Linked DNA regions of Caenorhabditis elegans. The protein of the gene in region 2 interacts with the protein of the main gene of each other region in a pairwise test. Each region holds a gene or a part of one and is shown on either strand. Other genes may lie near its edges.

The links.
Region 1: the proteins of T19D12.6 (region 2) and zoo-1 interact in a two-hybrid assay, tested with the Caenorhabditis elegans proteins (one large-scale study listed by BioGRID).

What each region holds. Positions count from the first base shown.
Region 1 is NC_003279.8:14,527,835-14,532,723, reverse strand, and holds the start of zoo-1 (Tight junction protein ZO-1), read right to left. Parts: upstream 3,196-4,889; 5' UTR 3,193-3,195; coding exon 3,097-3,192; intron 1,793-3,096; exon of another isoform or gene 1,744-1,792; intron 748-1,743; coding exon 694-747; intron 1-693.
Region 2 is NC_003280.10:6,637,000-6,644,956, reverse strand, and holds T19D12.6 (Laminin G domain-containing protein), read left to right. Parts: upstream 1-1,839; 5' UTR 1,840-1,856; coding exon 1,857-1,926; intron 1,927-2,851; coding exon 2,852-3,191; intron 3,192-3,237; coding exon 3,238-3,336; intron 3,337-3,516; coding exon 3,517-3,673; intron 3,674-3,722; coding exon 3,723-3,839; intron 3,840-3,927; coding exon 3,928-4,000; intron 4,001-4,045; coding exon 4,046-4,213; intron 4,214-4,808; coding exon 4,809-4,883; intron 4,884-5,465; exon of another isoform or gene 5,466-5,548; intron 5,549-5,900; coding exon 5,901-6,171; intron 6,172-6,214; coding exon 6,215-6,443; intron 6,444-6,492; coding exon 6,493-6,743; intron 6,744-6,790; coding exon 6,791-7,131; intron 7,132-7,194; exon of another isoform or gene 7,195-7,344; intron 7,345-7,494; coding exon 7,495-7,643; 3' UTR 7,644-7,884; downstream 7,885-7,957.

The DNA.
Region 1 (4,889 bases), on a different chromosome or scaffold from region 2:
TACAATGAAAAGTTTCAACTAAAGTCCTTTACAGTTTTAGTGATCTACTAGGACAGATACTAGGTAAGTCTTAAAATCAACTAGGTTATTACATGATAAATTAGGTTATAAGGTACTTATTTACAATTTCAGAGGTCCCGTGGTGTCACAATGTCCCATTTCGGTTTGATCTCCGAGAATTGCGGGATTTTAGACGCAGGCTTCTAAACTGGATTCGCATGGTTAAGAGTGTGCTGAGGACAGCTTGGCACCCTAGTTTAGGAAATTATAATAAATTTTTAATTAAGCTCAGAATTTAGTAGATAATTTTTATGAAAATCCGAAATTTAACCGAGTTAGGGGAGTTTTTTTTAGAAACTCAACACATAATTCAAGTAAGGTATAAATAACAAAATTTTCGACTCACTATCAGAAAATAGTTCTTCTATGTACATATATTTGTAACTGTGCTAAATAGATAGGTTGACAGGTAATTGACATTCGACCTGTATCAAGTAACGAGTTTACCTGGAAATTTCTATACAGATTGCCTAAACGGAATGTATACCCCTATACCTATACACAATTGTCCCTTGCATACATGGACGATAAATCATTTATACCCGAGTAGGAGAAAAAAAATGGGAAACGGGTTTTGTTTATGGTCAGGGAGGAATTAGACAATGTTTAAAATATAAACAAAAAGAAACATACTCTGTGTAAGGAGACGGAGAGAAGTTGCCACGTGCATCCACTCGGGTTGTACATCTGGAATATAGGTGATTAGGTGATTTTTAGGTTTTAGAAAAAGATTTTTGAAATGAATATCGTAGGTACAGAGACGTTAGTATACTGGTCTGAAAGAGCAAGAAATTTCCTATTTTTTGGCTAGGACACTTTCTTGCTACTTAATTATAAACAATCAAAAATAGGTGATTTTTAGGTTTTAGAAAAACTGCACAGAAATTGCCGTAATTTTAGATTTAAAACAGTTAGTTTTGTTAATTATGTTGCAACTAAACCAAAGTATAGAAAAAGCATTTGCTAATTGTAAGCTTAACTTTTTAAACTGGTCAAAAGTTTTGGACCGCAGCTACTACATAGAAACCGTACCATTATTATCAATTTCCTAAAAAATCCAATTTTTTATATTAAGAAAACGACTACTTATTTTATAACGGTGAAACTAAAACCACAAACAGTATTTGCCTATACATACAAATTTTTAAATTGTTATTCCTGAAACTTATAAAATAATATGAAAATTCACTATAAGATGCAGAAAAACATTTTTGGCAACTGTTGTTCATGAATGTAAATTACCGCTAAACTTTGCCGAATCAAAAATGGTGAAAGACTAATTTTTCATAACTTCTTGGAAAATAATAAATCAACTATATAGATATAGCATTTGTTAGATACCAATTTAAAAAGTTTCTCTTTTTTGATCTACCCCAAATTATGAGTAATTTAAAACCATATATGTAATGCTATCAATTTTTCCTATAGGTGATAAATTACAGTACCCATACAGCCTAAGAATTCTAAAATCTATTGTAATTTTTCTCATAACTAGGCTACCAGTAGACATCAAAAGTCAAATAAGCGACACACGAGTTGAATAGAAACAAAAAGAGTCTTCTCTCTCTCTCTCTCTTCTAAGAAGGGCATGATATCAATGTCTGGTTAAAACTGGGAAAAGGGGGTCCCTCGGGAAGTTGTGTGGAAGAAGAAAGAAGAAGAAGAAGAGGCTCTTTTTCTTTTTCATACACACACATTTCTCATTTACACTATGTTGAAAAACGAGAAAAAAGTGGATGGGAGGAGAATGAGAAAAGTGTCTCTTTTATTTTTGACCTGACTCTCATATTATTAGACGTTTTGTTTCAGGGGTAGTAAACGCGTTTTGAATGGTTTTCTATCTTTTGGCATTAATTTTTCGCGGTTTTCAAAGAAAGTGTGAGCATGTTCAGTTTTTGCTAGTGGAACAAGCATCGCGACAAAAATGGACAAAATCGTTCAACTATGTAAAAACCTTAATTTAAAGTTGCTTTTAACCCTATACGTTATACCGTTAAAACATACATCTTAAAGGTGGAGTAGTGCCAGTGGGGAAGTTGTTAAAAACCAAAAGTCCCAAAATGATCTAATATCATAATAAAACTTTTCAAAAAATTTTTGAAAATTTTTTATTTATTGTCAAAAAGTGGTGACAATTACTGAGTTTTTGCCACTCATAATTTTGGAAGTCGACCAAAAAAAAATTGTTTTTCTACATTTTTAATTCTGTAATCTTGTTTTAATTATTCGTATTAAAACATTGTAGGGGTCGAAACATGCGGCATACCTTTGGACTTTTTTTCAAAAGCTCTGATTTTTCAAAGTTTTGGCAATATGCCAAAACTTAGGCCGGAAATTATGAAAAATCTAAAATTGTGTTATATTATGATATTTGGTCGTTTTGGATCATAATAAGTGTACTTAGACAATATCCCCACCTTTAAAACGTTATACCTTATTACGAAAAATATACTATGTATAGCCTTAACTTAACGTTACGTTTTAACTTTTTTTAAAAATATTACACGATACTTTATAACCTTTATTTTAAAAACTAACGTTATAATTCGTTACACATGTAAAAACGTTGTTTTAATATGATCGTTCAATTAAAATTTTAACGTTTTTTTAATATATGATACTATAACCTTAACCTTTTAATCTTGTTGATAACGTATAATTTATAACATTTGAAATCAGGCTAAATCTATATTATAGTGTGTAATAAAACGTTGTAACGTATAACAAAGGACATAGCGTTACAGTTAGTTATAGCTTTGATTTTGAAAACGTATCGAAATATTGTAGTGTGAAAGCTCAAATAAATTCTTAAAATTGTACGTGATGACGGTATAACAGCTACCTTATTTAAATACATTTATGACGTCACAACAGTATTAAAATACATGCTTACAGCGGTAACGTTCATTTTCTAAACTTTTTAATTTTCCGACACTACTTGAAAAACATCATTATATTGCTATATCCAACAAAAAAATTGTTAGAATTTGGTATAAAGCTTTAATTTTTTTTTTAGAAACAAACAAAAATACTAACCTCTTCCTCATCCTGATCGACAGGCTCATGTTCCTCCTCAATACAAGAAGACGTACTTGACATGGAGGTCTTGTACCATGATGGGTCCTCTGACATTCTGGAATATAAAAGTTGTTATATACAAAAAGAAAATAATCAAAAATCACAGGGTAAATAGAGGCTAATCGTATATACAAATAGAAGCGGAAAAAGCAATGAAGTTCAGTTTGTTTCTTATGCTTTTTGAAGACTGCGGTTTTTTTTTTAAATTTTGTTATAAAAATTAATATTTTAACTCAAAGAACAATTGAAAACGTTTTAAAGTTCAATTTCAACAGAAATAATAAGAATAACCAGAAAATTCTAATTTATAAGGACAAGTTTTCAATTTTTTAAAGTAACATCGAAAAAAACTGTATAGAAGTAGTAATTAGTATGAAAATTGAAACTTCTTATTGAGAAAAAGTTATAATAGGTCAACTTTTAAATTTAATAATAGTAAAAAAGCCCCGTTTAAAGCGGTTACATTATGAACAAATTAAATTTTAACAAACTCAAATAAAACAAGTTCTATTTAAGTAGTTATCACAGTACTTAAACAATTATAAATTCCAAAGAAATATTGATTTTATAGGAAAATCCTGAACTTTTCCCATACAAAACCCTGCAAAATCCAATAAACAACCTTGAAAAGTTGTTAGTTTAAACGGGGAAAATGTCGTCAAATGGTGTGTTATTCCATTCAATACATACGCATATATCGGGTACGCAGACATTGAATTTGACGACATATTGGTAGGCAGAAGGGTAGGAGAATGGGGAAAAGGGGTCATGTAAAGGAAATTGAATTTGGGATGCGTGGAATTTGGAGTAATTTTGGGGTTTTCTGGGGGGATGGGGAATTGAATTTTTGAATAGTATCGGAGTAATTAGAGATATGAGAGAAGAAAAATAGTAATTGTTTGGAAAATGTGTGTAGTCTTAAATTCAAATTCCATGCAATTGAGTTAGTCAAAAAAAGGAAGTGTATGAATGTTATCATACGTTATAATACATATATGTACATAAATTATATATACCGTACATTCCCTATTAGTATGGCCCCCCGTCAATCGACTTTGTCGGCTCATATTTCAACGGTTTAAAAATATTTTTGATACCTTCAAAAACCAAAGCATAACGATAGATTTGAAAAAAATTGTGTCGTTTGAATTTTGAATTTTTGAAATATGATCAAAGACAACCGAGATATAAACGTACTAAAAAGGGAATATATGGTAAAATTCCATGGTGTGTTATAGAATTCGGTATATATATAATTATATAGGTATATAGATATATAGAATTAAGTACCTATGTATATCGGTTCTAGTTAGCTATTTCTAATTAATAATTATTACAGTCTTGAACGAAAGTTTCAAAACTGTGAGGTATTAGACTTTGTCACTTTTATGCTTTTGTCAAACCAAAGTCAGATGGTTCAATAACCTATTTTCCCAAGACAGTGTATCATATAAGCTTGAAATACAGTCTAAAACATCGATTTCAGAACAAAAAATGGACAAGTCTTGTTTGGTGATTGGCACAAAACACTTCAGCTCAAAAACTCATAAACTGGAAAAAAGTTGATTAGTTTTTTTTTGCAGAATGTAATTTTTGAGCTTGCCGTTGTAGTTTAGAGGCTTATACACATTATTGGGGGATACGAAGCTAACCATTCAGTTTTTAGACATGGTGCATTGATCAACCAACTAAATCAGTTAATTAACTAGAAAAAGACATGTACGTTTTCTGAATAGACACATACATTGAAC
Region 2 (7,957 bases):
ATTCAACAAGTTTTTTTTCTAATGGTAAAATTATGATGAACCAAAAAATGAGACTTCATGTTGTCCACTCTTCAAATCTCTATTTATAATTCAGTGTTTCATAGGATGAATTACATTCGCATCGTTGCTTCTGTGCATCCAGCCTTTAAAACACACTGCCTCGTCCTGTCTCTGCTCCATCATTTACCTCAGTAATTTTAGTACTCTTCTTCTCCTTCTTCTACTTTTTTCTCTTCTTTAACATCTTCCTTTTCCTCTCCAATATACTTTAACATCATCAACACAAAAAACGTTTAGTCGTCTCTTCATCCTCCTTCTCTCTTCCTCATTTTTTCCAACTTGTTGTTCTTCTTCTGATTCCTCCATTTATTTTCCGTTTGCGTGTGTTTTAATTGCGGGAGACCCCCCTCAGTCTCTCTACTCACCCGTTTATGGAGTCTCGGTTGGATTGAGAGGAGGAACATAGTTTTGACTATTCTCGTTTATTTTACCTCTTTTTCCATCTTCTTTTCCGATTTATTTCCACTTTTTAATGCAATCCTTGCGGACATTCGAAAGCCTAACTACCATTACAACTAAGATTTCAAAGGTCCGTTTTTATTTTATATTCTTTTCTTCTTTTTTTTAAACAATTATCTTCAAACTTCAGTTTTTTCTTCAATATCTCTATTTTTCTTCATTTTTCTACATTCATTCATTTTCTTTTCACCCACTTCAAACAAATAGAGCAAAAATGTATGAGAACAATTTCCTCTCGTTCTGCTAAAATTGAAAATGTTTCAAAACTTTTTTCTTCCATCGTTTCCCTCCGTCTTTTATTACCCTCTGACTCATTCATCCGATATCCTCAAATGTTTCGAAATGTTTTTTCTTGGTATTTGTCTTGTAAAACGTCTACTGTAGTGTTGACTTTCCAATGGTTTTTTTTTTCGAAAAAGGTTTTGAAAATACAATTCCCACTTGTTGCGAATTGAAACATCTGTTCAGATATTTTTGCAAAAAAAACGAGTTCAAAGCAATACAGTCCAATTCCAATCCAACTTAACGATGTTTCAAATTAGGTAATGTTCTGCGATGGAATAATTTCTGCTAGATTGCAGTTTTTCATTACCCTCAACAGGCACATAAAATGCATGCCTACAAGGCAAATACGTTTTCCAAAAAAAAAGTTTTTACAAAAAAAAATCTACCTGATAAAAATAACTTTTCAAAAGCCTCAGCAAACGCAGATCTCATAGTCAACACACAAAACAATGTAACGGCTTCAGGTTGCAATTTTTTGCGGCAAAATTTTAGGTCTTTTTTTTTGCTTTTCAAAAAAACTATTGGTTGATATTTATTTACTTGTGTTTTAAATTGAAGTATTTGCACTAAAAAATTTTAAAAATGGAAATACATTTTAATTAGGCGTAGGTCACTTTAAAGACAAGTTGAAAGCGCCTTGTAGGTGTCGGCAAAAATATTTGTGCCTGCATAGAAGATTTATGATTTTCCATTTTACAATTTTTATGCATTAAGCTTAAACATGTGTTTTTTAATTCTAAATTTTCTTTTTGTCAGTGGTCAAATATTCTAGACAGCTACTGGTCAGTCTTTAATAAAATTATCAATTTCCTATTTTTCGTAGAGTTCAATAAATCTTGCCTCTCTGCATCTTGCTCGCCGCATCAATTTCCGGTGCAAAATACTATAATTATCGTCCGGAATGTCCCCCATCCTCCTCTTCAATTTTCCTCTCTAACATCTCCTTCTTGATGTTGATGATGCGTTCGTCTGTCAACCGTGTCGCCGCACGAATCATCATCATCCTTACGCTTCCATTCATTCTCAGTATTTCAGGTGTTTCATGTCCTGACATGCGGCCGTTACAAGCCGTTTTATCATTGTGTCTGGTGACCATTGCTGGGAGCACAAACGTCTTTCAAGGTAACAAATGAGGGTCTTGAGGTAGATATCACATTAGGGTGTTAGAAATTCCTTGTTCAAAATGCGAGCAATTCGTTTCCATTTGCCTCGTTCACGTTCCCACGTTGTTTGCCGTCTCTTCATCTTCAATTATCCCTCTCACTTTCAACTTGTGATTCAATTAGTTTATTTCTCTATGTCTCCTCTAATCATCACATTATTTTAGCCGTTCTGTGGCTGATTGGGTACGGTAACGAAGCAGAACGAAGGCGATTCCCATCACTTCTTTTCTTCCAAATTATAGTTGTGACACTTGGCGCCCGCACAGAAAATTGATGAGTGTCGAGGGGTTTTGCTAGAAGATTTACTTGCTTTCTTACTCGCTACTTTTGAATACTATTTACGCAACCAAAAAGAGGATTATCTGAGGGCGGCAAAATTGTTGCGAAAAAGAAGTTCCTGAGGCTCATACTTTCTTGGAGAAAAGAGCACAAAAGAAATTACTCGGGGAATAATTTTCTGTTTTGTATGTTGCGTCGACAAGTGCAAAAAAACGAATACGGATGTCCTATTGTTGCAAGAAAAGAGTACATTCTGCTCTCATTTCTCAGTAGGGGGTTGCCGTAGTCAACACTTGAATCTAATTAATTTTCGTGGTGGGTTACATGCCAAACAAATTATTGAACATAGAATGTCATCTGGCGAGAATAAGAAATGGAAACTACTAATATCTTATTAGATAGCTGGACGAATTCAGAGAAAGGGGAACAGGTATCAGAGAATCCGCACAAAATTGAATGCATGTTCACCAAGGCCTAAATACATTAAATTTTTATGACGTGGAACAACCAAAAGATAGTTCAAGATCATCTCATTAACTTTTTATGGCTGAACAATAAAGCAAAGAACAACTGACTCACTCAGTCACCACAATCACTTTTTTTAGGGTCATGCGCGGCAGAACACGTGCTCTGTGAGCAACTGTGTGAAGCACTCTCTCCAGAAACATATGAATGTTCTTGTTGGGAAGGGCACGTACTACAGGATGATGGATTATCATGTAGAGTTGATACAGATGTACAATACTCTGAAGAGAAGAAGGAAATAACAAAGAAAAGGACGAGAAAGCTGGAAACCAGCACATTTCCTATCAGAAAACTGACCATTGAAAATAAGAAGAAGATCACAAATTCACCTAAACCATTGGCTTTTAAAGGATCGAATTATGCAGAGTTTGCAATCAAAGATGATACATATTTAGAGACAAATATCACTATTCAATTCAAGTAAGCGCTTTTATAAATACTTTTCAAAAAACGATTGGCATTTCAGACTTGATGAGCATAAAGATGGAATTATTTTCTTTGCTGGAGAATTGATGGGTGATGATTTCCTATCAATTACTCTAGATGGACCAAATGTTATCATGAGGTATGTATTTTTGGTATTTGAGTAACTTGATAACAAAGAGAAATTGTTTTAAAAAATACATCGAAAGCACATGTAGTTCACAATTTTAGCGAAATTATTGTCAGTATTATGAAAAAGAAAAAAAATAAAAGATCTTCTCTTTGATAAAACTTTACGAAATTAATTTCAAATTTTATTCAGACATGACTGTGGAGAAGGTACAATTGAAGACATGTATCATGGAAAATTCGCAATCGGAGAATGGCATGAGATCAACGTGTGGAGGAAAAATTGTGATTTGACTGAAATAATTGTTGATGGTGGTCACAAATTAGTTGATCACGCTGATGAATTTAAGGTTTGTATTCAACTTCTTAACCTCACAAAATCCCAATATTTGAATTCAGAATTACAAAGGGATCACAATGGACGAAGGCGTGTTCCTTGGCGCTGCTCCCCACAACATTGAATTCCTCCAGCAAAAGACAGGAGCTTTTGAAGGATTTCGAGGATGTGTTCGATTGGTGCGTAAGCTTGAAAAACAAGAGAAATTCGTTTATCTTGACGGAAATGTTTTGCAAGTGGACAATCCAATAAATGTTTTTCTTACAGCTTGTCGTCAACGGAGAAGTACTTCTAAACACCAATGAAACCATCAATAAAGCCTTAGATTCATCTGTCAATTGTAAAAAAATCTGAAATTTTTCATTTAAAAACGTTGAAATTATAGATTATTGTGGAGAAGAGGAACCAAAGTTGGAGAAGAAGAAAAGGAAGATTATAAAAGTGATGACAGGAGACAAGGAAAACGATAATGAAGAAAGTGATGACATTATTCAAATTGAAATGTTCGATCTCACACAAAGAGGAATTCCGAAAATCCTAGAGACTCCGGGAAGTAAGTGAGCGTTATGAAATAAATCCACCACTGCGAATTCTTTTAAAAATTATCGAAAGTTGTGAATGCGCTAGATGAAAAGTTTCGCGTGTGGTAAGACCAAAAGATTGTTTGAGTGAAAAATCACACTTTTTCTTGGAAATGTTCGTGCTTTTAAGAAAACATTATTTCGTTTATTCCTGTAACTTGTTAGCTTTTTAAGATTTTAGCGGAAGTTGTGTGAGTTTAGGAAACCATTTCTCTAGAGATTTTTGACTTTTTTTTGGAACACCGCAACCAAATTCCAAACCAAAACACTCAAAAGTGCGTTTCTTTTTTCTTCGAATTTCTTCTAATGCCGCCTGCTCAAATCCAAAATGGGCGGGGCCGTCGGCGGCATTTTGAAGCTGTGAGCGTGAGCAGAGCAGGAGCACACGAAAGTTCCTCGCTGTGCTCATTCCTTCTCACTTCATTATGATTCTACCGTGCCTACTCTTGTTATATGGGGTGCGTGTAGGCATATCGATGCCATTCGACTACTATGGGATGTTCATTGAGCAAATGCTCGCTGATCAGTTATCTGAAATTGTAAAGAATAACAAGACATCAATTACAGTGCATATGTCAACTCAATCCCCAACGAGTCTTCCATTGGGACATCCTATTCTCAAAGAAATTATTGTTCAGCAAGGTTAGTTTCTCCAAAATTCATTGCGATGAACTGAAAAGTTCAAAAATTTCAAAATATGGCCCTACTTCACACTGTTATAAAAAAAAAAAGAGCAACTTGCAAGTCTCTTTTGACCTCTGAAACTCCCGGCAACGTCTCTGACGTCACGCTTGGTTCTCTAAAGAAACTGCACCAAAAATTATCGTGACGGCGCATTTCTGAAAACAAGGAGCCGCGGGTTACCTGAAATGAAAGAAATCCCAGATATTATCCGTTAAAAAAATTATTATTTGAAAAGGTCCTTTTTATATTGTTAAGTAATACTGCTATTCCAAAAAATGAATTTATTTGTCTAGACTATTTTACTATTTTGACGGAAACCGGGCCACATTTTCTCAGTTCCTTTGCCCCATAATTTTCTAACCTTTTTCTCAGAATTGCCTTTTTCACTCCCTCGTTCTCGTTATTGTCTTTTTTCCTAACGCCACTCATTCCATTTGGCTCCAAACGACTTTTTGCTGCATAAAACTTAAAAGTGACTGCCCTGTTCTCTTCCAAAAAAAAATGAAGCGCCTAATCTTTTTCCCGTTTATTTTTTTGGAAGAAAAAGGCGAGGAGACCTTCTTGAAATATGCATAACAAACACGAAATGTCACGCATCGCCGCGATATGAGTGACACATTTTGGAAAGAGAAGAACAAGAAGAATAATGACAAAAAATGAGAATGAGAAATATGAGAGCATTGTTTTATGAATACTAGGATATGAGGTCCCATATGTTAATTAGTAAGATCCTAGAATGAGCACACCAAAAATAAATTAAAAAAAAGTATACACCTGGAATTGAGCAGAGATATTCTAGCTTAACTTTTTTCGGATTTTATTTTAACGTTCATGGTGCCTAACAGCGTACTTATTGATAAGGCATATATTAACGTTTTTTTAATCAATTAAATGAACTTTCAATCATGACGCAACCTTCTGATTTCTAGTGCCATCTGCCTCTATCTTTTTTACGTACTAAGATATTTTATTCAGAACATGTAACAACTACACCTGCTCCATCAAGTACGTCGACAAAAAGCTCCATAACCTGGAAAGTTGCACATTTTAATGGAAATTCTAATGTAATTGTTCCGGCTCCTGATAGCATTCTCAGCTATTTGGAACTCTCAATCCAATTTAAAACTGAGAAACCATCTGGTGTACTTTTCTTTTGGAAAGAGGATTCCAAATTTTTGATTGTCACGGTTGAGAATTCATTTATCAAAGTTTATGCAAGTCTTGGAGTTGATGCAACTATTTTGAGGTTTCAGAAATAATGTTAGAACATTGATAATTGGAATTTTCAGATCAGAGAACGCTGTGAGTTTGTATCACTGGCATAAATTGGAAGTCTGGAGAAGTGGAAAAGGGGTTCTGCTAAAAGTTAATAAACAAGGATGGGTGGAGTCAGAATTGCATGCTTCAAAATTAGAAATTATTGAAGAAACTGGAAATATATTTATTGGATCACTTGATGATAATGATATTCCATCAGTTGTTAAGGATATTGAAGGATTTGCAGGATGTGTCAAGAGGGTTGGTTTTAAAACAGAATACCAGTTTTAATTACATATACATTTTCTAGATCCGTCTGAATGGAAAAGCCATATTGATGCAGTCAACATATGCCACGAATGTGACTGAATGTTTCCAAGATCCTTGCTCCACGTTCGGATGTCCAAACAAGTGTCTTGCACACAATTCAATGCCAGTGTGTCAATGTGAATGGCCAATGAGCGGAAGAAAATGTTCAGTGACTTCGGAATCTGAAATTTCTGCAATGAAGTTTTCTGGATTATCTTATTTGGAACTTGACAATGAAGCTGTTATGAGCCAGTAAGTTCTTTATTTTAAATTACAACGGAAAACCATTCTACTTTCAGCATCACTGGAGATAGTCTCGATATGGCTGTCAACTTCAAAATCCAAAACACAACGCAAACTGTTCGCCAGATTGTAATTTCCGCTGGTGATATTACCCATGAAGATGACTTCTTTGAACTATCAATTGACACAAATCGATTTGTCCGATTTGCATTAAATCTCGGTTCAGGAACAATTGTATTAACACACCCAAAACGAATTGAAGATGAAAGATGGATTACTGTAGAAGTGATTCGAAAAAGGAATTTGGTGAAATTATCAGTTAATGGAGAGGATCCAATTACTGGATTTGCTCCAGAAGGTGCTGAGCAATTGAATGTGTATCGAAATATTTTTATTGGTAAGTTGTATTTCAAATAATAAGCTTCAATATTTTTCAACAATAAAGGGAATTAAAAATCTTTCATGATGCAAATTTGATCGCAAAACATTTATTAAAAAAACATTTTTATTTATATTCAAAAATGTGCGATTTTTGAATGGTTGGAACATGCAGAAGTGCTCGAAGTTTTACAAAATGTTCATATTTTTTGAAATTTCGGACCTTTTACCAAAACTGAAAATATGAGAATATCTAAATATAGTTGGAGTTTTTAATTATGATATTTGGTCATTGATATGAGGCACAGAACGGTGTCTTCAAGGCATCTTGAATATTTCCCTTCAAACAGTTCAAATGAGTTCCCGATTGTTTCAATTTCAGGTAACAATTTTACACCAGACGGATCACCAGATGGTCGGGACTTTACGGGACTTGATGGATGCATTATTTCGCTTCGATTCGATCAGACAACCATTTCTCACCCAAAACAAGCAAAAACAGCCATCAATATCCAGGACTGTGCAATTTAATCAATTCACTGGTAGTCGAATATAAATAAAAATTTGCTGTTTCCGTTGAAATAAGAATGACTATGCCGGTTGTTCCGTATACGCATAAGTTATTTGTTCTGTATTTAGCATGTTGTCCCTTTTCTTACAATCACCCATATTACTTTTACATTTCAACGTTTTGAACGATTAAAAATGAAATAAAAAACTATTAAAATATTTTTTGTTTTCAACTTCAGTAATAAAATGTTTATTGTTCAGATTATGTATCAACAGAGAAGAAAAACAAAAAAATAAAACAAAATTTAAGATTAAAGCTCTTCAGGTTGTGAGTT